3 linked regions of the Notamacropus eugenii genome follow. The protein of the gene in region 1 interacts with the protein of each later gene in a pairwise test. Links are inferred from orthologs where the notes say so. Each region holds a gene or a part of one and is shown in the gene's direction. Other genes may lie near its edges.

Evidence for each region.
Region 2: the proteins of REEP6 (region 1) and PTPN9 interact in binary tests that used the Homo sapiens proteins (3 or more experiments, as listed by UniProt). The two-hybrid records come from large-scale screens. The link is inferred for Notamacropus eugenii from reciprocal best matches to the Homo sapiens genes REEP6 and PTPN9.
Region 3: the proteins of REEP6 (region 1) and LITAF interact in binary tests that used the Homo sapiens proteins (3 or more experiments, as listed by UniProt). The two-hybrid records come from large-scale screens. The link is inferred for Notamacropus eugenii from reciprocal best matches to the Homo sapiens genes REEP6 and LITAF.

Annotation. Positions count from the first base shown.
Region 1 is NC_092875.1:62,873,755-62,881,743, forward strand, and holds the start of REEP6 (receptor expression-enhancing protein 6), read left to right. Parts: upstream 1-4,921; 5' UTR 4,922-5,165; coding exon 5,166-5,280; intron 5,281-7,989. Other genes in the region: PCSK4 (proprotein convertase subtilisin/kexin type 4), read right to left, coding at 1,519-2,007. UniProt on the Homo sapiens protein: Required for correct function and survival of retinal photoreceptors. Required for retinal development.
Region 2 is NC_092872.1:240,285,416-240,293,054, forward strand, and holds the start of PTPN9 (tyrosine-protein phosphatase non-receptor type 9), read left to right. Parts: upstream 1-4,585; 5' UTR 4,586-4,642; coding exon 4,643-4,729; intron 4,730-6,065; exon of another isoform or gene 6,066-6,151; coding exon of another isoform or gene 6,152-6,190; intron 6,191-6,470; exon of another isoform or gene 6,471-6,854; intron 6,855-7,639. UniProt on the Homo sapiens protein: Protein-tyrosine phosphatase that could participate in the transfer of hydrophobic ligands or in functions of the Golgi apparatus.
Region 3 is NC_092872.1:91,387,468-91,394,436, reverse strand, and holds the start of LITAF (lipopolysaccharide-induced tumor necrosis factor-alpha factor), read left to right. Parts: upstream 1-3,931; 5' UTR 3,932-4,126; intron 4,127-6,969.

The DNA of each region.
Region 1 (7,989 bases):
GATGACGTGACTTGCAGTAGACTTTGATATGAATGAGGGAGGGCTGTGCAAGGCCACCAAACTCACTTTCTTTTCCTGAGCCATCTGGGTGCTGTGGCCAGATATTCATCAGGATGACTGGAGATAGCCCAGGATGCAATAGCCCTTTTAGGGCTAGCATTCTCACTTTGAGTGAGATACATCCCTTCAATGAACAGACTTCTTTAAGCAGTTGCTCAAGGGATGATCCCTTTAATCAAAAAAAAAAAAAAAAAGCACTGTGGCCACTTCTACTCCTTCCATTACCTTTTTTTTTTTTTTTTACCTTTTATACAATGTTATGTTTTAGTGCCAGAAAATTCCCTTCCCTCTAAATATTATCTTTTAATTTATCAGGTAGTCAAGTTGCAAGTCTTAGTATTAACAATGGAGCCTCAGTAGAGGAATAATTTTCAACCATCACTAGGGTTAAAGTAACAAAGTCTGCCAGGGCAAGGGGGAGGAGGCCCAGATTTCTCAATTACTAGCTCTGGAGCTTGAGTTCTTGCCTCTGAAGTTTACTATTAGGCAAGCTACATCCTTACCTGTGCCTCAGTTTCCTCCTCTGTGAAATTGATTTTACACTCAGTCCCTTTCAGCTCTAGCTCCATTGTTAATATCTAAATATCTAATAATCTAAAAAATGGCAATGTATAAAAGCAAAAAAAAAAAGTAGCTAACGGAAGGCATGGAAGTGGCCCCAGTTGCCAAGGGCTAGAGCTTATGGAGACAGACTCAGGAAGATGGTAGACAGCCCATGGATTTGGCAGAAGAGTCGGCAGTCCCGTTCAGCTGGAATGCAAAGTGTATAAACAAGAGTATTCACTTGGCAAAGAGGCCAGCTCCTAGCAAAACTTTTCTCCTGAGCTCCAAACTCCACCGGGGTGTCCCACAGGTACTTTAAATCCTACCTGGTCAAAACCCAGCTCCACGTATTCCTTCTCAGTCCCTCTGTCAAAGCCAGTTTCTAGCTAGGCAGCCTGGCTCCCTCCCCTCCACTCTGCTGCAGGGTAAGGCATCCTAGGTTAGGTGCAGCTTTTCTGTCAGAATTGGCTACCTAGTATCCCATTGATTTGTGAACAATTTTATCTTATCTCTCAAAATTATCGGAGGTCAGGGATTGGGTTTCCCCCCCCAGTGAGTACATGTTATCCCCCTAAGTCAGTACCTTTTAAAAATTCATTTGTTGCAAAGCAAGGGCCCAGCACAGAGCTGAATGGCTTAATAACTTGTTTACTGAGAATGAGAAAGTATAATGGTGTCGGGAGGAATCTGTGCCAGTGTTGGGGGGAGGGGGTAGCCAGGGAGGATCAGAGTACGTATGGAGAGGGCAGTACAATGGCTGAATGCTGGGGGATGGGGAGGAGACTGTGCCTGGGGGTGGGGGTGGAGTGAGAAGGCTTGAGAAGCTCCCACCTGAAGGCCAGGAGGGGTGAAGAAGGTGGCATCCATGCCCTTGGCAGAACCCAGAGCCCTAGAGAGGCTGCCCGGGTGTCCTACCTGCCCCAAATTGACAAAGCCGAACTTTCGGGCCAAGCGCTCGGCCTCCTGGCTGCCTCCAGGCAGCAGCACAGCCCAACTGCTAACATAGATGGGGACCGCTGAGAAGTGGCCCCCTCGACGCCGGCCGCGACCCCGGCCGGTCACTAGTTCTTGTCTGGGCTTCTCTGGGGAGATGGAGACTAGAACCCGGGTTAAGGCCAGGGCTAGGACCAAGGTCGGAAATAGGGTCCGAACCAACCTCAGCCGGGTCCAGCCCAGCCCCATGGTAGTCGGGGGCCGGGGGAAGCCCCTTCCACCGGACAAACAGTCTCTAGGGTCCCGGGGGGCGTTGTTTAAATGCCCCCTCCTCCCACCCCCACCCCCCGGCAAGAATGGAGTAGCCCCGACCCCTGGGAACCAGAGTGAAGCAACCCCCGATCCCTGGACGCCTCTTCTCGGCTCCATGGCAACCCCTTCCCCCCACCCCCGGGGGGGGGGGGGCTTCATTCCCAGGGGGCCATGCGACCACCTAACTGTATACGGCCGGGGATCGGGTTGGGAAACCGGCCCCCGGTGCCTTGGGGAGTGGGGGAGGACTACCGGGAGAAGGAGACACCCCAGGGGAGTGGGAACAGGATAGGACCTTCTCTCTTCTAGTTCCCTCTTCCATCCTCATTCTTAACCTGGAGAACCAGGTTCGACTTCTGATTTCATCAGTCTCGCTGTGTAACCTTGGGCCAGTCATGCCCCACTTTTGACTCTCAGTAGTCTTCTGTGTAAAGAGAAGGTTACACTAGATCAGGGTTGGGGAAACTGCGGCTTCAAGGCCACATGTGACCCTCCACGTCTTCAAGTGTGGCCCTTTAACTGAATCCAAACTTCACCGAACAAATCCCCTTAATAAAAGTAGGTTCCCCACCCTGGCACTAGATTCGATCTCTAAGTCAGAAAAGGTCTTTCCAGAGAGCATTTAATTAGTGGCAAAGAGGGTGGCCTGAGGCTAATTATGGGCTTTCTCTGATTTGAGTTGATTCAGTCATTCAGTAGCAACTGCTAGAGTTTTCTATAGTACTTTACAGTATACCCTGCAAATACTGAAATCCCCATTTTAAAGAGGAACAAAGTGTGGCACGGAGAAGGGAACTGAACTGACTTGTCCAAAGTCACACTGCTTTGCTAGTCAATCGGTTAGTCCATAAATGTGCCAGATACTGGGTGCTAAGAGCTGGCATTGTAAAGAAAGTCAAATGTTCTCCAAGGACTTACAATCTAATTGTATGGGGAAACACCACGAAGATAACTTCGTATAAACAAGCTGTATTCAGGATAAATCTGAGATAATCAACAAAGGGAAAGCACTAGAATTTAGTGCCATGGAGAAAGGCTTCCTGTAAAGGGTGGGATTTTTAGCAAGAGGCAGAGCTGGAATTTGACTGTTTCTGCTCTAATAATTTCATCTAATCATGTCCTAAGTCCTATACATTGATCTTGTCCATCTCTAGCTTCATCATGGCTCCTACCCTAATTCGGACCACTGGATGGTCCAGCTGAACTGCCCTATTTGCTTGTTAATTTCCTTGTACAATCTTTTGTTTTGATGTTTGTACTGGCTGTGCCCTCCCTCCTATCTGAGGTATTTCTACCCTCCCCCCTACCATGGAACTAGGGTTCCTCCCCTAGCCCGTAACCTTGGATTTATAATGTGTATATTTTGTATGTATTTTCATTTGTGTCTTTATGTCCCTGGCATAGTGTCTGGCACGTAGTAGATGTTATAAATTCTTCTGACTGATTGATTCATCACTTCTAGCCTAACTGATCTCCCTGTCCACCCTCCCTTCTCCAATTTATCTTATACTAAAAGCCAAGATAATCCATCTATCTAGGGTCCAAATTTGACCATATCACTCCCTTGCTAAAAATAACCTTCAGGAGGCAACTAGGTGGCTCAGTGGAGTGAGCACTGGCCCTGAAAGTCAGGAGAACCTAAGTTCAAATGCAGCCTCAGACACTTGCTAGCTGTGTGACCCTGAGCAAGTCACTTAACCCCATTGCCTAAAATAATAAATAAATAAAATTTAAAAATAACAACCCCAAACCTTCAGTGGTTCCCTATTGCCTATACGCTAACATACAAATTTCTCAGTCTCCATAATCTGCCTCCAACCTACCTTTCCAAATTCATTTTTACATTCTATCACTCCTCTTTAGGAGCTCTATATTCCAGGTAAACTGTCCTGTTGTTTTCTCAAACTCAAAGAGCTACTATCTCCCTGGACTGGCTCCAGTTCTTTCCATTCCCCACCCCCCATAACTGGAATGCATTTCCTCCCCATCTCTGCTTCTCAGAATTTTTGCCCTACTTCAATGAAGTACTAGATTTAACTTCCAAGGTAACCTTTCCACTGAATTTTATTGCCCAACAAAATAGGGCACCACTCCCTTTCTTGTATCATTTTTATAATAAAGATAAAAACAAGTATTTACTACAGAATGCTTTAAAATTGACAAGAAGCTTTGAACATATTATCTCATTTGGTTTTTCACAACAACCCTATGAGCTAGTTCTATTAGTATTCGAATTTTACAGACAAAGAAACTGAGACTGAAGGAAATTAAGTGACTTGCCCAGGGTCACACAACTTGGTAAGTGTACATGTATCTTCTATTACTTTAGAACACAAGCTCCTTGTGGGCAGGAATTGTATACTTTTTATTTGTGTGTCCCTGACCTTCAGAACTGAGCACTGTGCCATACACAGAGGCATTTAATCTTTGTTGAATGAACTAGGTCTTTAGTTTCCAAATTCAGGGTTCTTTCCACTACATCACATTGCGTTCCCAAACATTTATTGAACTCCTGCTGTGTGCAGAATACTAAGTGGAACTTCTTCATGGGATGTCAAGAGGGAGGAAAAATTTGGAATGTAAAATGGACCAGGGTGGAGGCTGGGGGGTGGGGAGAAGCATAAGACTGGTTCACCGGGGTACTTCGGCTCCAGGTGTGGGAGTAATGAGTTTGGAAGCCCAAGGATTAGTTAGGAAGGAGAGGGAGAGGGAAAGGAGAGGTGGGGAGGAGCCTAGACTGGCTGGGGTCTGGGAGTGGGAGGGACGTTAACTTACCTAGGAGACCTGGCACTTGTGGACCTTGAGGGGGCCCATAAATAAAGAACTGGGCCTTCCTGGTCTCCCCTGGGTCTCCCCTAGCCTCTCGCCTACCTGTCTCCTCCGCGTCCCAGTTCTCTCCCAGGCCCAGCCCCCTCTTTTCTCTCCCGCCTAGCTCACAGGTGGGTGGCTCGGGGCACTCGGTGCGAGGAGGGGCAGGAACGGGTTGGGAGAAAAGTCCCGCCTCCTTTGTCCGTTCCGCGTTCTCATTGGCCAGTGTGGGCAGGGTGGGCCGACCGAGGCCCCGCCTCGATTTTCCGTCCAATCCTATAGTCAGGGGGCGGATTCAGGTCGTCCCCAGCAGTTGCAGGACCACGAGGTGGGAGGGAGGGAAGGAAGGGGAGGGACCGGGGGACCGGAGGAGTGGAGGTACTGGGAGCCTGGAGAGGGAGACACCACCAGCACCGCTGCAGAGCAGCGGGGAAGCCCTGGAGGTCGCCCCTTGGACCCGGGTCCAGTCATCCTCCGTCCCCTCTCCTCCCCCCTCGGTCCCAGGAGCCATGGGTAGCTTGAAGCAGCGCTTCCAGAGGTTCCTGGAGCAGAAAAACTTTGTCACCGATGTCCTGGGCAAGCTGGAGGAAGTCACCGGGGTCAGAAAGTACTACATGGCTACAGGTAAGGACCTCCGGGCCCCCTCCTCCAGATAAAACCTTGGGCGCTCAGAGATCCTCTGGCCATAGAAACTTAGAGTTAAGAAATCGAAAAGCTGCATCTCATTCCCCATATTGTAGATGAAGAAGCCAATGCCCAGTGAGATAAGGGGAATTCCCTAGGTTGTTCAGAAAAGACCAGAACCCGAACCTCTTAGTTCCTGGTAGGGCTCTTTATGGAAATTGTTGTACTTGCTACCCTTGGTAATTCATATTCTCTGTCCTCTCTCCACCACCTTTAATTAACTGGCTTGAAATGTCATGGGTTGGGGGTTGATCTGCTATCATCCCACAGCGGCAGCTGGAAAAGTTCCAGCATCACCCCTGGATTGCAGTCCCTCCCAAGGGGGCAAGTAGGTAGGGGAAGATTCCCTCGTATTTATAGGAGTTGTAGCTTGAAGAGCCCTATTCTGGTGCTCAGGACCCCAAATCACACAACTGTAGAATAACCTTGGAACACGGAACCACAGAATTGGGAAATGATCTAGGGCCATCTAGTGTAGCTCTCTCTGTTAATGGAGGGGGAAACCAACCCTTGCCTAAAGTCACACAAAGGCCAGAAAGAATGGGGGAGGGGACAGTATAGTGCCTGAGGCTAAAGCAGCTTAGCTCGGGTAAAGGAGGACCTGAGAGGTGGGGCCAGTACTACCAATAACTAGCCTGTCTGGTCCTAATGGAGCAGATCAGCCTCCTAGGGACACTTTACTTCCAGGACTTTTAGGCAGTCAGGTCTAGTTCTCTGTTCTCAGGACCCTTCTAGGAGTTTTCCTGGGCCCATCTGGGAAACCCTGCTTGGTGGGGACGAGTATCATATCATCTTGCCCTTTGATATCCCCCAGCTCTTGGACTTTGAGAGTGCTGTGCCAGGCACATTCTGAGAGAGGCCATGTTGAAAGTCTGACTTGGGCACCCAGAGGTCTACTGAGCCTGGGTCCAGGCTCTCTCCCTTTTTGGGGCCCTCTTCGAAGGAGATCCCCAGATTATCTGTTTCTGGTCCTTCCAGTTGCTTGGTCTGCTCTGGGGCAAGGGGGAGGAGGTGGCTGGCTTCGTGGGACAGAGCACAGAATGGTTGTGCTGCCTTTGTGCAAGGCCCTGGCAGACAGCCCTAGGGGCCAAAGCCCAGCCTGGGAGGCTGGGCCAGGGAGTTCAAGTTTAATCTCTGACAACCCACCCTATGTCTCAAGGCTGATTCCAGGGGTGATTCCAGTTCATACCAACTTCGGGGAGCACTTCCAATATTCTCTCCCTCCTGGTGCTTCAGATACTTAGCATATTCCTGACACTGCTTTCAATTGAATTTGTAAAGCTCTCAGTTGAGCTTCTCTGTAAGTAGCAGAGTAGAGATGAGGCCTGGAGTAAGAAGACCTGAATTTGAATGTGACCTCAAATACTTACTGTGTGACCTTGGGCAAGTCATTTAACCTCTGTCTGCCTCAGTTCCCTCATCTGTAAAATGGAGATCTTAACAGCACCTCTCTGCCAAAGTAGTTGTGAGGATTGAAGTCGATAACATTTGTAAAATTTAGAACTATATAAATTCTAGCTACTTGTTACATGTCAGTTGATAGATTGTTAGAGCCAGAAGAGACTCCCATTCAGGGTTTTCTTGACAAAGATAGTGAAGTAGTTTGCCATTTCCTTCTCCAGCTCATTTTCCAGGTGAGGAAACAGTATTAAGGCAGGCAGACAGTATTATGTGACTTGCCCTGGGTCATACAGCTAGTAAATGTCTGAGGTCAAGTTTGAACTCAAGTCTTCCTGACTCTAGGCTCACTGTGCCACCTAGCTGCCCAAGAAGAGACCATATTAGCTTGCATTCACTTACCTCTCTGTACAGGTTTCTTCCTCTAGTAGGATGTAAGTTCTTAGAGGGCAGGTTGTTGAATTAAATGGAATATGCCTTCTCCTCCCCATCTCCCCAGTTTTCAGAGGAGAAAACTGAGACCCAGGAAAGTGAAATATCTTGTTCATGATTACCCAGCTCCCTCAGATGATGATGATCAAGGTATAGTGGCTAGAGCACTGCACTTGCAATCAGGAAGACCCGGCTGCAGTTGCTGGCTCTGCTAGTTGTTAGTAGAGGTCAGCTGTGGTCAGCTCACCTCTCCGAGAGTCTTTTTCTATAAAATGGGGGTAATAACTGCACCCACTTTACTGAGTTGTAGGGCTCAAATGAGATATAACAAGTAAGTAAAGGCACTTGGAAACCTTGTTCAATATAGAAAGGTTTTTAAAGTGCTTTATTATACTTACTATTTCCTATTCAAACTTTAACCTGCAGTGAGGCAGATAGTATTATTATCATCCCCATTTTACAGATGAGGAAACTGAAACTCAGACTGTGGTCACCCAGTTAGCAAGTGGCAGAGGGGGCATTCGAACACAGATCTTATTCGCTCCAAGCCCTACCGCTCCTCAGTACCCCAAAATACTGAGGTCAACTTAACTCCCCTTAGAGATGAGAAAACTGGAGCCCACAGAGCAGAGGTGATTTGTGCAAGGTCCTACCCTCAGTCAGCAGGACAATTGTGCAGAATTCTCATTATCTCATTCCCCACAGAAGCTGTTTGAAATTATGTCTTTCTTCAAGCCTCCTAAACTCTCCCCTCCCCAACCTCTTAGCTGAAGATCTTTTCTTCTCTTTATTTCACCCTCCCTTGTCATCACTCCCCCA
Region 2 (7,639 bases), on another chromosome or scaffold:
TCCAGATAGCTTTTTCCATTGAGCTAGTTTGGTGATTGTGACTTAATTAAATACAACCCATCCTTACTAGCTTCCTCCATCAGGGGCCACCGGCATACTCTCCAGCTCAAAAGATGGGAGCTGGTAATACTTTGGTCATTATTAGAAAGAGGAAGTAAGGTCTTCCCTTCAACCCCTTTCCCATCCATCCTCCTTGTTCCTTCTTACCTGTTGCTACCCCATTTCCCCAAACATCCGAAGGTCACACACCTACACCAGCCCTGGAAACCACAGCTGGATCCAAATCTCAGCTCCCAATGCCTGCTGCCGTAGGCAGGTCACCCCACCTTTAGGGGTTTCTGCTCATCCATCTATAAAATGTGGTGGGAGGGGCCTTGTTCATTTTGGTCTTGTTCACACAGTAGGTGCTTAGTAAGTACTTGGCTTGAAATACAGATAGTCCCTGATTTAGAAATGCGTGATTCTAAAAAAATAGGATGAGACTGGGCAACCTTTAAGGTTTCTTCCAACTCATAGTCTATGATGCTTCCAGACTGAGGTTTGTAGATAGTTCCCACTGCTGTGATAATGTCAGGACAGGGTAAGCTCTCAAACTAGATCTCATAGACTGACTACAATTCTGGGTTGTTTCAGGAAGCTGTTGGGACTGCTGACTCCTATTAATTCCCCAGGATCTAACTATGTGCTCTGCTTACCACATGGTATTAATCTGGTCATGCTTAAATCAGTTCTGTGTATATGGCTTTCCCCTCCACTTAATAGTATTTTATTTTTTTCCAGTTACATATAAAGATAGTTTTCAACATTTACATTATTTTTAATTCCAAATTTTTTCTCCCTCACTACCTTCCACCCAAATCTGAAGTAGATTATACATGTACAATCATATTAAACAATATATGTATGAAAGGGTGGGACTAGATGACACTGATGCTCTAGGGTCCTATGACGAGGCTGTGTTGTCTCCTTCCCTCTTATCCTCTCAGATTCATCCACTTTCTGGTTATGTTTTTCCCCCCTCCTTCTTTCATCAGGTTGTCTTTCATTTTTTTATAACCACTTTAGCTTATCAACACATTTAGTGCTTTGTCATACTACCTTTCTGGGTCCCCTCTGATCCTCTGAGCTCTTTGAAAGAAAGAGTATTCATGTAATTATTAATTATTACTGTGCTCTGCCTGAGACTTCCTATGCCCGTTTATCCCCTTTTTCCTCTTGGCTCCAGGCCTTCGACTCATCCTGCCCTCATCCCCCAAACAGCCTTCCCCTCGTCTCCCTAGCCAGCTCCCAGTGCGTCCTCAGCCTCCTCCAAATCCCTCTAGAACATTGGCTGCTTCTATGAAGCCTGAGTTCCAAGTGCTTCAGAAAAGAAAGTCCCACCAAGAGAGGTTTAACCATCTACCCCTACTTCAGGCTTCATGTGAATTGTGTTGTTTGGATTTGTGTTTGAACTGTGTTTGATTGCTCCAAGAACTCACAAATGAGTTAAATAACAGAGCCTGCCCTCAGGAAGAGTTAATCTCATATTGATCTTGCAACTGTATTAGTTTTGTAATGCTAAAGGGAATAAAATACATATCCTACAAAATGGCAATGGTCTAACCTTTCATTACCAAGCACCAGATGTCCACCCATCCATTTATTCAGCAACCATTTATTAAATGCTTAATGATGTGCAAAGCACTGTCCTAGGCACTAAGAAACATGTACAAATCTTCAATACTCTATATGACGTAAAGTTCAAAAACAGAATGTAATGAGAGCATAAAGGAGGGACCAAATGTTATCCTAGAAAGGAGGGATTTGAGCCAAACCTTCAAGTCTGGGGTGGAGATGAAGAAAGTCTGAGACAGCTAGAGAAGTACAGGAAGCATCAGCAAAGGTGCAAAAGGAAAATGCCGGACCATAGCCAATGTGGTCCAGTTTGACTGCCTCAATGAAGAAGCAGAAACATTGTCATTGTAAAGGGCCTTGAAACCCAGATTACTCAATAGGCCATAGGGAGCTCTGGGAGAGTGCTGAACAGAGGAGTGACATTTGTCAGATCTGTATAAGTGTAATTATCATGGGATTTGACTAGGAAGAGAATGGAGGTAGGAAAACAAATTAGGAAGTATGGCAGTAGGGTAGCCTGGTGGTAATGAAATCTTGTAGCAGGGTTATAGCAGTGGCAGTAGAAAAGAGGTGATCAATTCAAGAAGATATTAGAGGGGGAGAGTTGCCAGAACTTGGTAGTCAATTAGATGGAAATTCGAGATGGAGAAGAGGGATGGTCAAATAAAATACTGAAGTTGCCAGCATGGAGGTTAGACAGTATAGCCCAAATCCAGATGAGGAAACTGAGGAAAGGCCAGGTAACTTTCTCAAAATAGTTACCTAAATGGGATTAAAATGAAGACTGAGCTTTTCCATAATTGCTAAGCCCTGTCTTTGTCTCTCAGTCAAAAGTCTAACTGCTCTGTGACCCAGAGGGTTTCCAGTGTCTGAAAGTAACAGGGTGGCTAGATTCAGACCTGAGTTGCCAGTGGTCTGGGTGACTGGCTTAGCTGCTTAAGCATTGACTTAATCATGGATCCCTATCGGAAGATTTCTAAAATCTGATGCAAAAAAAAGCTAATTGAAGTCCTAGCTCTAGTCCCTTTCCTGAACTCCAGAGGCTGGACATATGGGCTTTCTTACTGTTCTTCCTCAGAGATGACACTCCATGTCCCTCCTGAGTGCCTTTGTTAACTGTCCCCTTTGCCTATGATGGCTTCCCTCCTTACCTCCATCTCTCAGAATCCTCTAGATTCTTCAAGACCCAGCTCAAGCACCACCTTCCTCTTGACATCCTCCAAATGCCAGTGCCTTTGCTTGAAAAAATGACCTTGTATTTATTTTGTACATACTTATACATGCATGTTGTCCTCCCCCTCTCCAACTTCCTACTTAAAGGGCTGGAACTTTTCACTTCTGTCTTTGTATGCCTGGCACACACTAGGTATTTTTTTAAATGCTTGATTGCAGAGGTTGTGGCATGATCCACAACCATGGGGGTGGGAGTACAGCATTAACCTCCTCTGTTATCCTAAACTGGCAACCCAGTAACATAGCCCTTTTGGCTATGTGAATCTGAATGACATTCAAAGGCTTTTGAAAGCAAAGAGATTCCAGAATGAGGCAAAGGTTTGGAGAAGGATGTTTTCTTTTGGGAGAACTAAAAATAGTCAAGTCGATGATGGATTACAGGATACAGCCAACAACAAAATAGAGAGATGGTACAGTGATCAAACAGGCTGGTTGCTTGGACCCAATAGCGCTTGCCCTGTTTGGCAACCTTTTTAAGGGTCCCATTCAGCCTGAAATTGGCATCGGCAGTGAAAGAGGCTTGTGGGTTTCGAACATTTGGGTGGTAGCTGAAAGTGAATCCAAGTTAAAATTCATCTCAGTAGAGACTTCTCCGACTTGTAATATATTCCCTTCCTCCACTATGGAGCATCAAGTCTCTTGTGAAAACACATACTCCCTTCTCCCTTTATCTTTCTTCCACAGACACTCTCTTTTTCCGCTTTGCTCCTTCAACCCCCAGGGAGATTTCTCCCTCCCCCAAAGCCCTTTTCTGCCATCACCCTCCCCCACCCAGTTCCTCTCTTCCTCTCTCCCTCCCTTCCCGGATTCCTCTCTGTCTCCCTCTCTTGGAGAGACCCTCTTTCTCTGCCTGCTTCCTCCTCTCCCGCTGTTTGTGAATGAGGCAGTTTCTGAATGGAGCTGCTGGAGGTTCAGGCTGATCAGGGGCAGCAGCACTGGCCGTGAGAAGGGGAGGGGGATGTCTTCTCCTTCCTTCCTCTTTTCTCTCTTTCTCCGTGGCTGCTTTTGAGGAATAAGGACTTGAGGAGGCAGAGACGGAGGTGGCGGGGTAGGGTTTGGATCCTCTCAGGACAGTTCAGATACGGAGGGGATTTGTGGGCTCAGAGTAGGAGTATTCTGGAAGGTCAGGAGGGTATTTCAGTCTGTGTCAGGGGGATTTCAAGCGCTAGGACACAGCCCGAAAAAGTTTTTATTTTTCATTGAACGTTTTTTCTTATAGAATACTTGCTTCCTCTGTTTTTTGGGGGGGGGTGGGGGGGTGTAGAGGGATGAGGCAAGAGGAGAGTTAGAGGATTCCTCATCACCCCCTCTAGTGAGCCCGGGAGAAAGGCAGGACCATGCGTGGCTGCCCAGCTCAGGCCGGGGGTGTGGGGGGAGTCGAGGGGCCGAGCAGCAGTAGGAAATAGCGAGGAAGGGGAAGGAGGGCGAGGGGGGTTCGAGGTTTAGGAAAAGGCGGGGGGAAGGAGGGAGATCTTTCCCGCCCCCCTTTACCTTTTCAAATCCGATTGTTTTTCCCCTTTGGCTCTGATTTTTGTTTTGTTTGATTTGGTTTTGCTTTTAGTTGCCCAGCCGGTGGTGCCCTTGGGGGGCGCCGGCCCAGGCACACCTGGGGCCGGGGGCGCGCAGCCACATCTGGCCGCGCCGGGGGGCGGGGGCGGGGAGGGCGCAGGAGGCGGAGGACGACCAGGGCCGGGCAGCGCCGGGCCGGGCCAGGCCAGGCCAGGCCGGGCGGGGGTTGGGCTGGCGGCCCGAGCCGCCGCCGCCGCCGCCGCCGCCGCCGCCACCGCTCTCCGCGATGGAGCCGGGGCCCGAGGCGGGGCCGGGGCCGGGGCCGGGGCCCTGGCTCGACATGGCGCCGGAGCTGACCCACGACGAGGAGCTGGTAAGAGGCCGGGCCTGCTGGGAGGTGGGTGTGTCCGCCCCGACGGGCGCGGGGGAGGGGGGAAGGGAGGGGGGGCAGCGGAGCCGGCCTCCGGTCCGCCAGTCAGCCCGTCCGAGGCCTAGGCCCGCAGCGCCCAGCGGCGCGAGAACGGGGACCGCGCCCAGCCCGGGTTGGCCCTGTGCCCCCCCGCACATCACAGAGCCCCTGCGAGCCCCCCCATCAGAACCTCCTGCGTGAACCCCATCTGGAACTCCTGTCCTTGGACCGTCACAGCGCCCCTGCTCGCTCCCCACCCCGATAAGGAGCTCCTGCGTGCCCCCCATCTGAAACTCCTGTCTTTGGACCATCACAACGCCCCTGCTCGCCCCCACTTCAGGAGCCCCTGTTTCTGGACCCCTCCCTTCTCACAGCACTCCCTGTCTCTTCCTACCCCCATCACAGAGCCCCTGCCCCTTCTCATAGGAGCTTCTGCTCTTCCAACCTCCTACAGAACTCCTGTCTCCCATTACAGAATCCCTGCCCTTAAACCCCTCCTCCCTGAGGGCAGCCCCTGTGCTCCCCTCACACCGTCACAGAGACCCTGCCCTTGGACCATCACAGCACCCCTGGACCCCTCCCTCATCACAAAAGACCCTATGCCTCCCCACCCCACCCCCAGCCTCTAGACCCCACCCCCTTTACCTCTGGCCCTGTACCCCTCCCTTATCACAACAGCCTCTGTATCTGGAACTCTCTGCTATCACAGTGACCCTGCCCTACCTTTGCGCCTTATCCCCTTTCTATTTACATCGTCCCTGCCCCAGGACCCATCCTTATAAAAAAAACACAAACCTTCCCTTATAGCGCCCCTGCTCTTGGACTTCTATCAGTGCTCCCTTGCCCCTGGAACCCATCCACATCATAGCTCCCCTGCTCCCCCATCCCAGTGACACCTGCCCTTCTCTCCTTCCTTCGAATTCACAGCTCCCATGTCTCTCAGCTCCTTCCCTTTTCCCCCTCAATGCTCCACACCTTCCCCCAAACCCCCGCCCCCTCAATTTCTTTACAGCTCCTATTACCATCCCCCCTCCCCCACTTCCAATTACTTCAGCTCCGGCTTTCATCCCCTACCTGCTTCCCACAGCATCTGTGGCTCAGCACAACACTTTGGGCTCACACCTGCTGCTTCCAGAGTTACCCTTCTATTTAGAGTGACCCTGGCCTGTCATACCTTCTAGTTACAGCCACCACCACCCCTTCACACACACACACACACACACACACACACACACACACACACACACACACACACACACACACACACACACACACACACTAAAGTGCTTGAAGTTATTAGCAGCCCTGACCTGAAGGAGGACTTGGAAGAGACAGGGACAGGCCTGCCCTGTTAAGGTCACCATCTTGGTTTGAATAGTATCATGAATGTGTGTATGCCTGACAACCAAATCTCACCATAAGCAGGTAAACCCATCGTCCTCTGAGGAAAGTCTATAACTGTGCCCTTCACTGGACATCATGATTTCACTAACTAGTTAATGGCTTAGGTACGGATTAGGCTTGTGTCCTCAAATCTAGGCCCTCCCATTATACTGTCCTAGGACATGTCCTCCCTGTTCCCTGTTCATCTGCCCCACTGATGTTTCCTCCCAACCCCCTACCAGGCTTGTCCTCTCTTACTGCCCCTCCCATTCTCATCTGACTATCCTCATCTTTCTGCCCACACTGAACTCCATTGTCCCTTAAAAGCTTGTGACCTTCAATCCAGAGAAGGAAGTGATTCTCTGTACCGTTTTGGGGGCATCAAAATGTTGTGAACTCTGCCTGCCTTTAGGGCCCTCCCTACCCCTTGTTCCCATTTCAGGGAACTTTTTGCCCCTTCCCACTGGCTCTGAGGAGGATATGAAACCAGGGCTCAACCCTGTGCCTGGCACATAGTAAGAATTTGATCAATGCTTGGTGACTGGCTACTTCCTAGAAGCTTAGAGAACATTTGGCCCTAAGCCCTGAGTACTTCTAGTCACAGCCCTGCCCAGATATAGTCCTACATCTGATTGTCTGTTAAAAATCCAAATGGAAAGAGATGAACCACGACTGAAACTCATTTCAGCACTTTAGGCCCTTCAAGGTAGGTAAGAGACTTGGAGAAAGTCTCCCAAACTAATCATTGGTGTGTAGCCTTGTTTGTGTCCTGATAAAAAAGCATCTCCATTTCCTTCCATTTATTGAGAGGACTGGTTTCATATCTGGCCTTTAGAATGTAGCTATTTCAATACTTTGAAAAAAGAGAATTCTGCCCTGTAAAATCTGTGTTAGCCTCCTCTGTAGTACTGTTCTGTTTCAGCATAAGGATAGCCAGGGCCTAGTAGAGGCCAGGCCTCCAGGGATGCCAGGATCATCAGAGGAAGTCTTCTGTAGTTTGTGGATGTTAACTTTATTAACATCAGTTAATAAATAACTGGTTTTTTCCCCTTACCTTTCCTGGATTTGAAATGTGTGTTTACTCTAAGACTTAAAAGCCAGGGAATAGAAACATTCTTGGGAAGTAGTATCAGCATTTGTTCTGGTTTTGTGTATGAGATGGATGTTAAGGTTTTATAATAACATTGGTTTGCCATTCCTGCTTATCTGAAATGTGTGACTGCAAAGTAATATGCCTGGTTTCTTAGCAACCAGCCATATGAGCCGTACTTACCTGTCTCTCTCTTTCAAAGTAAGCACCTTGGGAGGACTTAATGCTAGGAGCTGTTAAGTTGCTCAAATCATATTTGGAATTGCCTTGAAAAATCGATGTACAGTTTGTTTTTTTAGCATCCTTGACAAGGGCAGTGTAAACCATTAGACTTAGTGGGTGGGTTTGATTTTCCCAACAGCCATGACCAATGGCAGTCCAGATCAGGGAGCCCAAGCAAT
Region 3 (6,969 bases), on another chromosome or scaffold:
CTTGCTGATGGATAAACATTATTGTTCAGGTTCAAATTCCAGGAAACATAACAATTCATGCAGGCAGTATGGGGATTGAGAAAAGCCCTGGGAGACAGAGACAAGGAAGTCCCTTTGATTGATGAAGGATTAGCAAAGTACTGGTCCTTGCTAGGAACCAAGGGGAGGACACCAAGGTGGGAAAGAGAGGTACAGAGATCAGAGAGAGTCAAAGACCTGTCAAGGATTCCAGTGAATGGAAACAGAACTCAGAGTCTTAGAACCTCATGCTTGGAGACCAAGCAAATAGTATTGGGTGATCTTTGGGGTCAGATCTATCCCTGAGATGGGTGTGGAGACAGTGACATGCTAAGATTAGCCAAGTAATGGTGGCAAACCTGTTTGCAGACATGAAGGGTAATTCTGAATTCCTAACTCAAATTACCTTGGTCTTAGTGTATCTCTGGAACTGGAAAGTGTGACCCAGGAAGCCTGGGGGACATCTGTGTACAGTTCTTCTGAGAAGTCTGACAACAACAAAGGAAGTTGTCTTTTTCTGCAGTCTCATTTTTCATGACTTCTCCTTTGGCTGTTAAAAGGAAGAGTGGTATTCTAAGTTTGGGGAAGCAAGCTAAAGGCTAAATCCTATTTTGGGGTGAGCAGTTTATCTTCTTGTGAAGGCAGGAACCATGGTGAGAACTGGATACACATAGCTGATGCTCTTTCATGCTTTTATATGAAAAACAAGACTAAAACACAGAAGGCAGTCTGGAAAAGTCCCCGAGATTTAACTTTGCCCGCCAGGCAGGGGCTGCTGTTCTGATTACAGAGGGTCACCATCTTCAGACAATTAAATTAGCTGTAGGTAATTGCCTGCTTGCAGGCAAGGCTCTCTGGCTTAGCACAGAAGCGCTCTGTTTGTATGTCTTTCTCGGCAAACAATTGCATCTCCATTTCAGGGCATGATCTCAGAAGCCTTGGAAAAAAGAGAACATTGTTCAGTGATAAATATATGCACCACTAAGTTGCCTTGGTGAAGAGGAAGAGTTCACTTACAGAGGCTGGCTCTGGCAACTACTTATAGTGCTCAAGTCTGATTATGTACGCCCAGAGGGGAGAAAAAATTAGCTGAAATCAGGGCTCCACTTTCAAGACTGGTTCATGTGATACCATATGTAACCAAGGATAGCAAATACACTTCCAAATCCCCTATGAAGTCAACTGAGAGCTGGAATCTCCCTAGACTTGGCAGTAGCAAGAGTTCAGTTTCCTGTGTACTAGGAGTTAGTCAGTATGTTTTTCCTCCTGCAGGGTTATAACAGGGTAGCACATGAAACAAGTGGCATTATTTTTTTGTGCCCTGCTGGGAAGCTGCTGGTTGGAAATCCAAGTGGTGTTTTTTACCTCGGAATTTTTACAAAAAAGAAAGGAAGGAAGAAAGAATTAAGAAAGCAAGGAAGGAATTGAGAAGGGAAGAGAGAAGAAATGTAGGGAAGAGGGAAAGTTGGAAGGAAAGAGGAAAAAAGAAAGAAGAAAATTAAGAAAGGAAGAAAATAAATTAAGAGAGGAAAGAAGATTATAAGTTTAAAACTATTCTAATAAGTAACCTCAAGGTCCTACTAGTAACTTTAAACATTTGAAAAAAATAAAGATTATTGCTTAAACTCGAGTTAAATGTCTGTTATGTTCAATGAATCAAGGGAAAGGAGATAAAGAAAAACTGTGAGAAAAAGTGAATTTTTAAGACACATGGAAAATTAGGCATATGATATATTTTTACTACATCATATTAAAAAATCAAACGAGTTTGGTTTTTGCTTTACTATTTTGGTTTCTTTCCTATCCCCACCTCCAAGTCTCTTACTTACTGGTACAGGACTCTGTTCAGGGATAGCTTAATGATATGGTCTCTTTTTGTCTGCCAAAGAGCCCTTCAGTTGAAAGGTGACAGTGAACCAGTTATCATGGAGGAAACATATGGTCTGGTTCTAAGTAATAATATATTGCTAAAGTGCTGTACTTATTGAAAGTTTACAGAGACGAAGATGAGTGACATCAGGGTATAATGCAGAGAAGGTCAGCGTTGGAGTGAAGAAGATCCAGGTTCATGCTCTGCCTCTGACACGTATAGCTTTGAGACCATGGGCAAATCATTTAATCTCAGTGCTTTAGGTCTAGACAATTTTCTAAGACTATAAATTGTAGAGAAGTTACCAATCTGCATTGGTAGAGGGAGTTTCCTCACTTGGGAGTTCCTTATACCGATGAAATCATAGATATAGTACCTATCCATATAGATATATACACATAGATGACGACCAGACATTCCCTATATTGATGAAATCGCAGGTCCAATGTTTATTCATACACACATAAGCACACACCTTTTAACTCATCAGAGGAAAAGCATTGTTGGGTAGATTCTTTATGGAGGTGTTATGGAAAGAAATGGAGAAGTATAACAGGATAAAACATACTTGCTGTGTTGCAATCCATTCTGATGAGATCATAGATTTATTGATGAATTTTTCACAAACTTTGCCAGACTGATATATAGCCCCTTTTAAAACTTCTAGTTTTGCTGCACTGAGTTGGGTTGTCATGGTGATTTTGGTGGAAGGACTCTGGGAGTGGGAGTCATGAGACTGGGGTTCTAGTCCAGGATTTGTCACTGACTTATTCTGTGACCTTGGATAGGTCATTTCACAACTACTAGCTTCCCTTTCCCCAATTGTAAAATGGAGTTCTCTGATGTTTATTAAAGGAAAATTGGAGGAAGTTGTGGAGGAACTTTGCATAGAAAGTTAGTGGTGGAGATAAGATTTTGAGTTACTGCTTTCCATTGACATTTGTGACTCAGAATTCATGGAAAATGGGAGCAGACATAAATCATTGGTTCAGCTAGGTCTGTCCCAGTGGATAGAGTGCCCGTCCTGGAGTCAGGAGGACCTGAGTTCAAATCCTGTTTCAGATACTTACTAACTGTGTGACCCTGGGCAAGTCATTTAACTCTGTCTTAGTTTCCTTATCTATAAAAACAAGCTGAAGAAGGAAATGGCAAACCACTCCTGTATCTCTGCCAAGAAAATCCCAAAGGGGTTGGGGATGGGTTGGACACCACTGAACAACAACGATAATAGGTCATTCTAGAAAGGGCAAAGAGGACAGAAGAAAGATTGCGTATAATCAGCTCAGTGAATTCCCCTGGGGGAAGTGGTCATTGGCTCCTCTTGAGAGAACGAACAGGGAGAAGTTAGACTGTAGAAGGACCACACCAAAGCGTGTGAGAAAGAAGTAATCGGGTGGAGACTGAAATCTGGGAAGGGCAGACAGGGGATGAGAAGAGTGTAACTGGGGAAGGAAATGAAGGCAAAACTGGACCAAAAAGGGAGGAAATTTGAGGGAGAAAAGAGCAGTGCGATATCTGATGTATTGGGAGTTAGGTGACCCCGAGTCCTAGTATCTAGTTGTGTCCCAAAATAACTGTGAGCCTGGGAACGTGACTAATTCTCTCTGGGCCTCAGTTTCCTCCTCTGTAAAATGAGAAAGTTGGACCAGATCAAAGGTACTTAACCTGGAGTCGGTGGACTTAAGGCGGTGGGGCGCGGATAGATTTCTAAGGCACAGTGAACGTGGCCAAAAAAAATTACATCTGTATTTTCGCCAACCTTTGGATTCTTTTGTAATCCTATGGATTTCATGCATTTCTGATTCTGAGGAGGGCTTTACCAGACTGGAAAGGGGGCCATGACCTAAAAAAGGTCTGGACTGGACGATTTTTAAGGCTCCTTCCAACTCCGAGAGTTTCTGAATCAGAGGATGGAGAGGCTAAAGGGCTCTTCAGCAACTGGACAGGACGGCCAGAGGGAAGCCACCGGCTAACGAGCAGGACCAGGGAGCCTTTAGCCACAAGAGGAAGGGGCTGGGCAGGGAAGGGAAGGGGGCGGAGAGCGAGACTAGGCGGGACGGGACGGGAAAGGACGGGACGGGGCTGCAGCTCTCCGGAGCCGGGCCAGGAGGCGGGGAGAAGCCGGAAGCCTGTCGAACTGCGCTGCCCGCCCCGGTCCTCTCAGACCCGCCCCCTCGCCTGCCCCGGCGAGCTCAGACCTCCGGCTCGGCACGGCTCGGCTCGGCTCGCTAGGCGCTGGTAAGTGCGGGCCTCCTCGAACCCAGACTGCGGTGGGTGGGGGGTGAGGAGGACCGAGAGCTCGTCTTGGTGAGTTTCGAGGCAGGGGACGGGGGTTCAGGGAGGGGCAGAGGGTGTGATGGCCACCTTCAGACTGGTCCTGGATCGGAGCCTGGCCCGAGGGGAGGGGGCGGGCTGCGGCCAGCCCGGGGCCCCGCCGCCGCCTTTCTTTCCTCGGCACCTTCTCCCTGGATGGCTCCTCGCTTACCAGGAGCTGACTGTGTTGGGGTCGGGTTCGTTTAAAAAAAAAAATCTGGGAGACCTCGGGGCATACCTCGATGGTCTCTCCGTCCCTAATGTTCTGGTTTCAGACGTGCTTAGAACCCAGGACTGGAAGTCCCCGAGTGGGCAGAAGTTGAGTCCTTCCTCCCACGCTGGCTCAGTTTAAGGAGGGCAGGCAGGCAGGCATCTTCCCTCCTCCCAGGGCAATCCTTCTGGGCGAGTTAAAGGGGAGAAGAAAACACCACCCACACGTCCTCCGGGACTTGGGGGCAGCTTCAGGTGGTTCGGGACTTGGTCCTTCCTTAGGCTCTTTGGTTGTGCGGCTCCGAAAGGAAGTTCGTACGAGCTGAAGTGCCAACAGGTTCGCACCGCGTTGGACCACCCTGTTCTGGATCTGAAGGAGGCCAGCCAAAGGGAGGGAACTTGCCTCTAGGATATGGACTGACAATCCCTCCCGCCCCTCCCTCCCCCCCCCCCCGCCCCCCATCCCCCCATCCCGGCCTGTGTACCGGAATGGAATGGAAAGGAAAGGGTCTAGAAGCTTTGAACTGATCAGGAGGGGGAAGTTCTCGGTAGGTAACTGAAGGAACTTAGGAGCTGGAGCTGAGGTGTAGCAGATGTCCCGCGGTTGGGGCAGGATGAGTGTCGTGGACGAGCTTGGTAACTGTGTCGCTGCTTGCCAGAGGGACTGGCCAGACTATTTGCAAAGGCATGTGAAGTCACTGGTCCAGTTTGCAATAACTGGAGGAGGTTTCTATTTTTATTTCCCAGGGGAGTCCAGTGATTTGAGTGAGGTCAGAGACTTGGAGGCAGAGCCAGAAGGAAAACTCAAGCTATGTGTTCAAAGTCAGAAAAAAAAAAACCCTACTGTGGTAGCCTCCAGATCCCAAAGAAGGACTCATGGCTCTTTTTGGAAACAGTTTGTGGATACTTTCATGGGCGCAGTTGCCACACTGCTCCTTCACTCAGTCATTCAAATATGAGGAGACAGATGTTTGTTCACCTCTGTTCGACATCATATGACGAACACATTACTACTTCCCTTCATTTGAACCTTGAGACAGGAAGACCTGAGTTCAAATATAGCCTCAGACATGCTCTAAATGTGTGACCCTGGGCAAGTCACTTAACCACCCTCTGCCTCAGTCTCCTTATCTGTAAAATGGGGCTAATAATAGCACCTACCTCCCAGGGATTTCATGAACATCAAATGAAATGATGTTTGTAAAGTGCTTTCCAAATCTTAAAGTTCCATAAAAATGTTGTTATTATGATAACGTTATTACTAGATATGTAGTTCTTAGCTCCTGAAGTGAGAAGGTGGAAGTATTCACATTCCTGAAATAAAAGCATGTTGAAGATCTGCTTACTGTCCATTCGCTTTGGTTACTGACTTCTTTCAGCACCTTACAGTTTCCTGTTTCCATATCTAGACTAAAATGTTAATTTGTTGTTTCATAATCTAGAGCACATGGGATGGCCATGTCTCCAAGCCTGTGTGATCCTGGGCAAGTCACTTAGCCTCTCTGCCCCTCTCCTCACCACCAGCATTGTCTAACGTGTTTTCTCAGCAGGGAATTCCATATATCACTGGGGTGAAGTTCCCACATAAGGAAACAGGGAAAGGAAGCAAATCATTTATTAAGCAAATATTATGTGCCAGGCACTGTACTAAACACTTTACAAATATTATCCCATTATAACATTAACGATTTCTTTTAGACCTGAGATTTTTACTCTTGTTTCCAAGAACGTAGAATTTTTGAATAACAGTTTTAAGTATGATTGATTTCCTATGTACTCCTCTGTATTTCATCTTATGCGTTTAAATACATGCTGAGAAGGGCTCCATACTTTGTCTCAACCAGATGGCCAAAGATGTCCATGACATATACAAAAAAGTTTAAGAACTTCTGATTTAACATGTCTGGTCCAATGGAATTCATACTAATTAGACATTGGGAAACATCCAAAAGGGATCCAGGTTTATTGTAAAAATAATTGTGCAAATATGTGGGGTTTGGTCTTAGTTTAAAACTACAACTATTTCTCATTAAGTCTGTGCTGAAGCTGGTTTTCTTTTAGGCTATAGGATTATTTATACTTTGCCACTGCATGTTTTTTTAATGGGATTGAGTTCATTTACCTTTTAAAATTATTATTGGGAAATTCAAGGTTTCTTGAAGTCATCTCGACTTCTAAAGTTGGTGTTTTCTTTGCAAAAATGTTGCCAGGAAGATTCAGCTGCTAACCTTCCTAGGTAGATAGATTTCTTTTAGGCAGTTGAGTTTATGTTCTCTCACTTGAAACTTGAAACTAAAGTTTTGCCTGAATTATATCAACTGTAAAAATCCCCCGAGACACGTTACTGAAAAGTAATGGCTTGCTTTAGATTGTGGTAAGACTACTTCATCTTTCATAGTCCCTGCCTCCTACCCCCTAACCTCAACCCTCCTCATCTTGGGCCAAGTTGCTTTTCTTGCAAGTTGGCAGTTTTAAATTATTATTTCCTAGGCATGCGTTATTAGTAAAACAATAAATTCACTGGGATGGAAGATAGCAACATGGAGTACAATTAATAG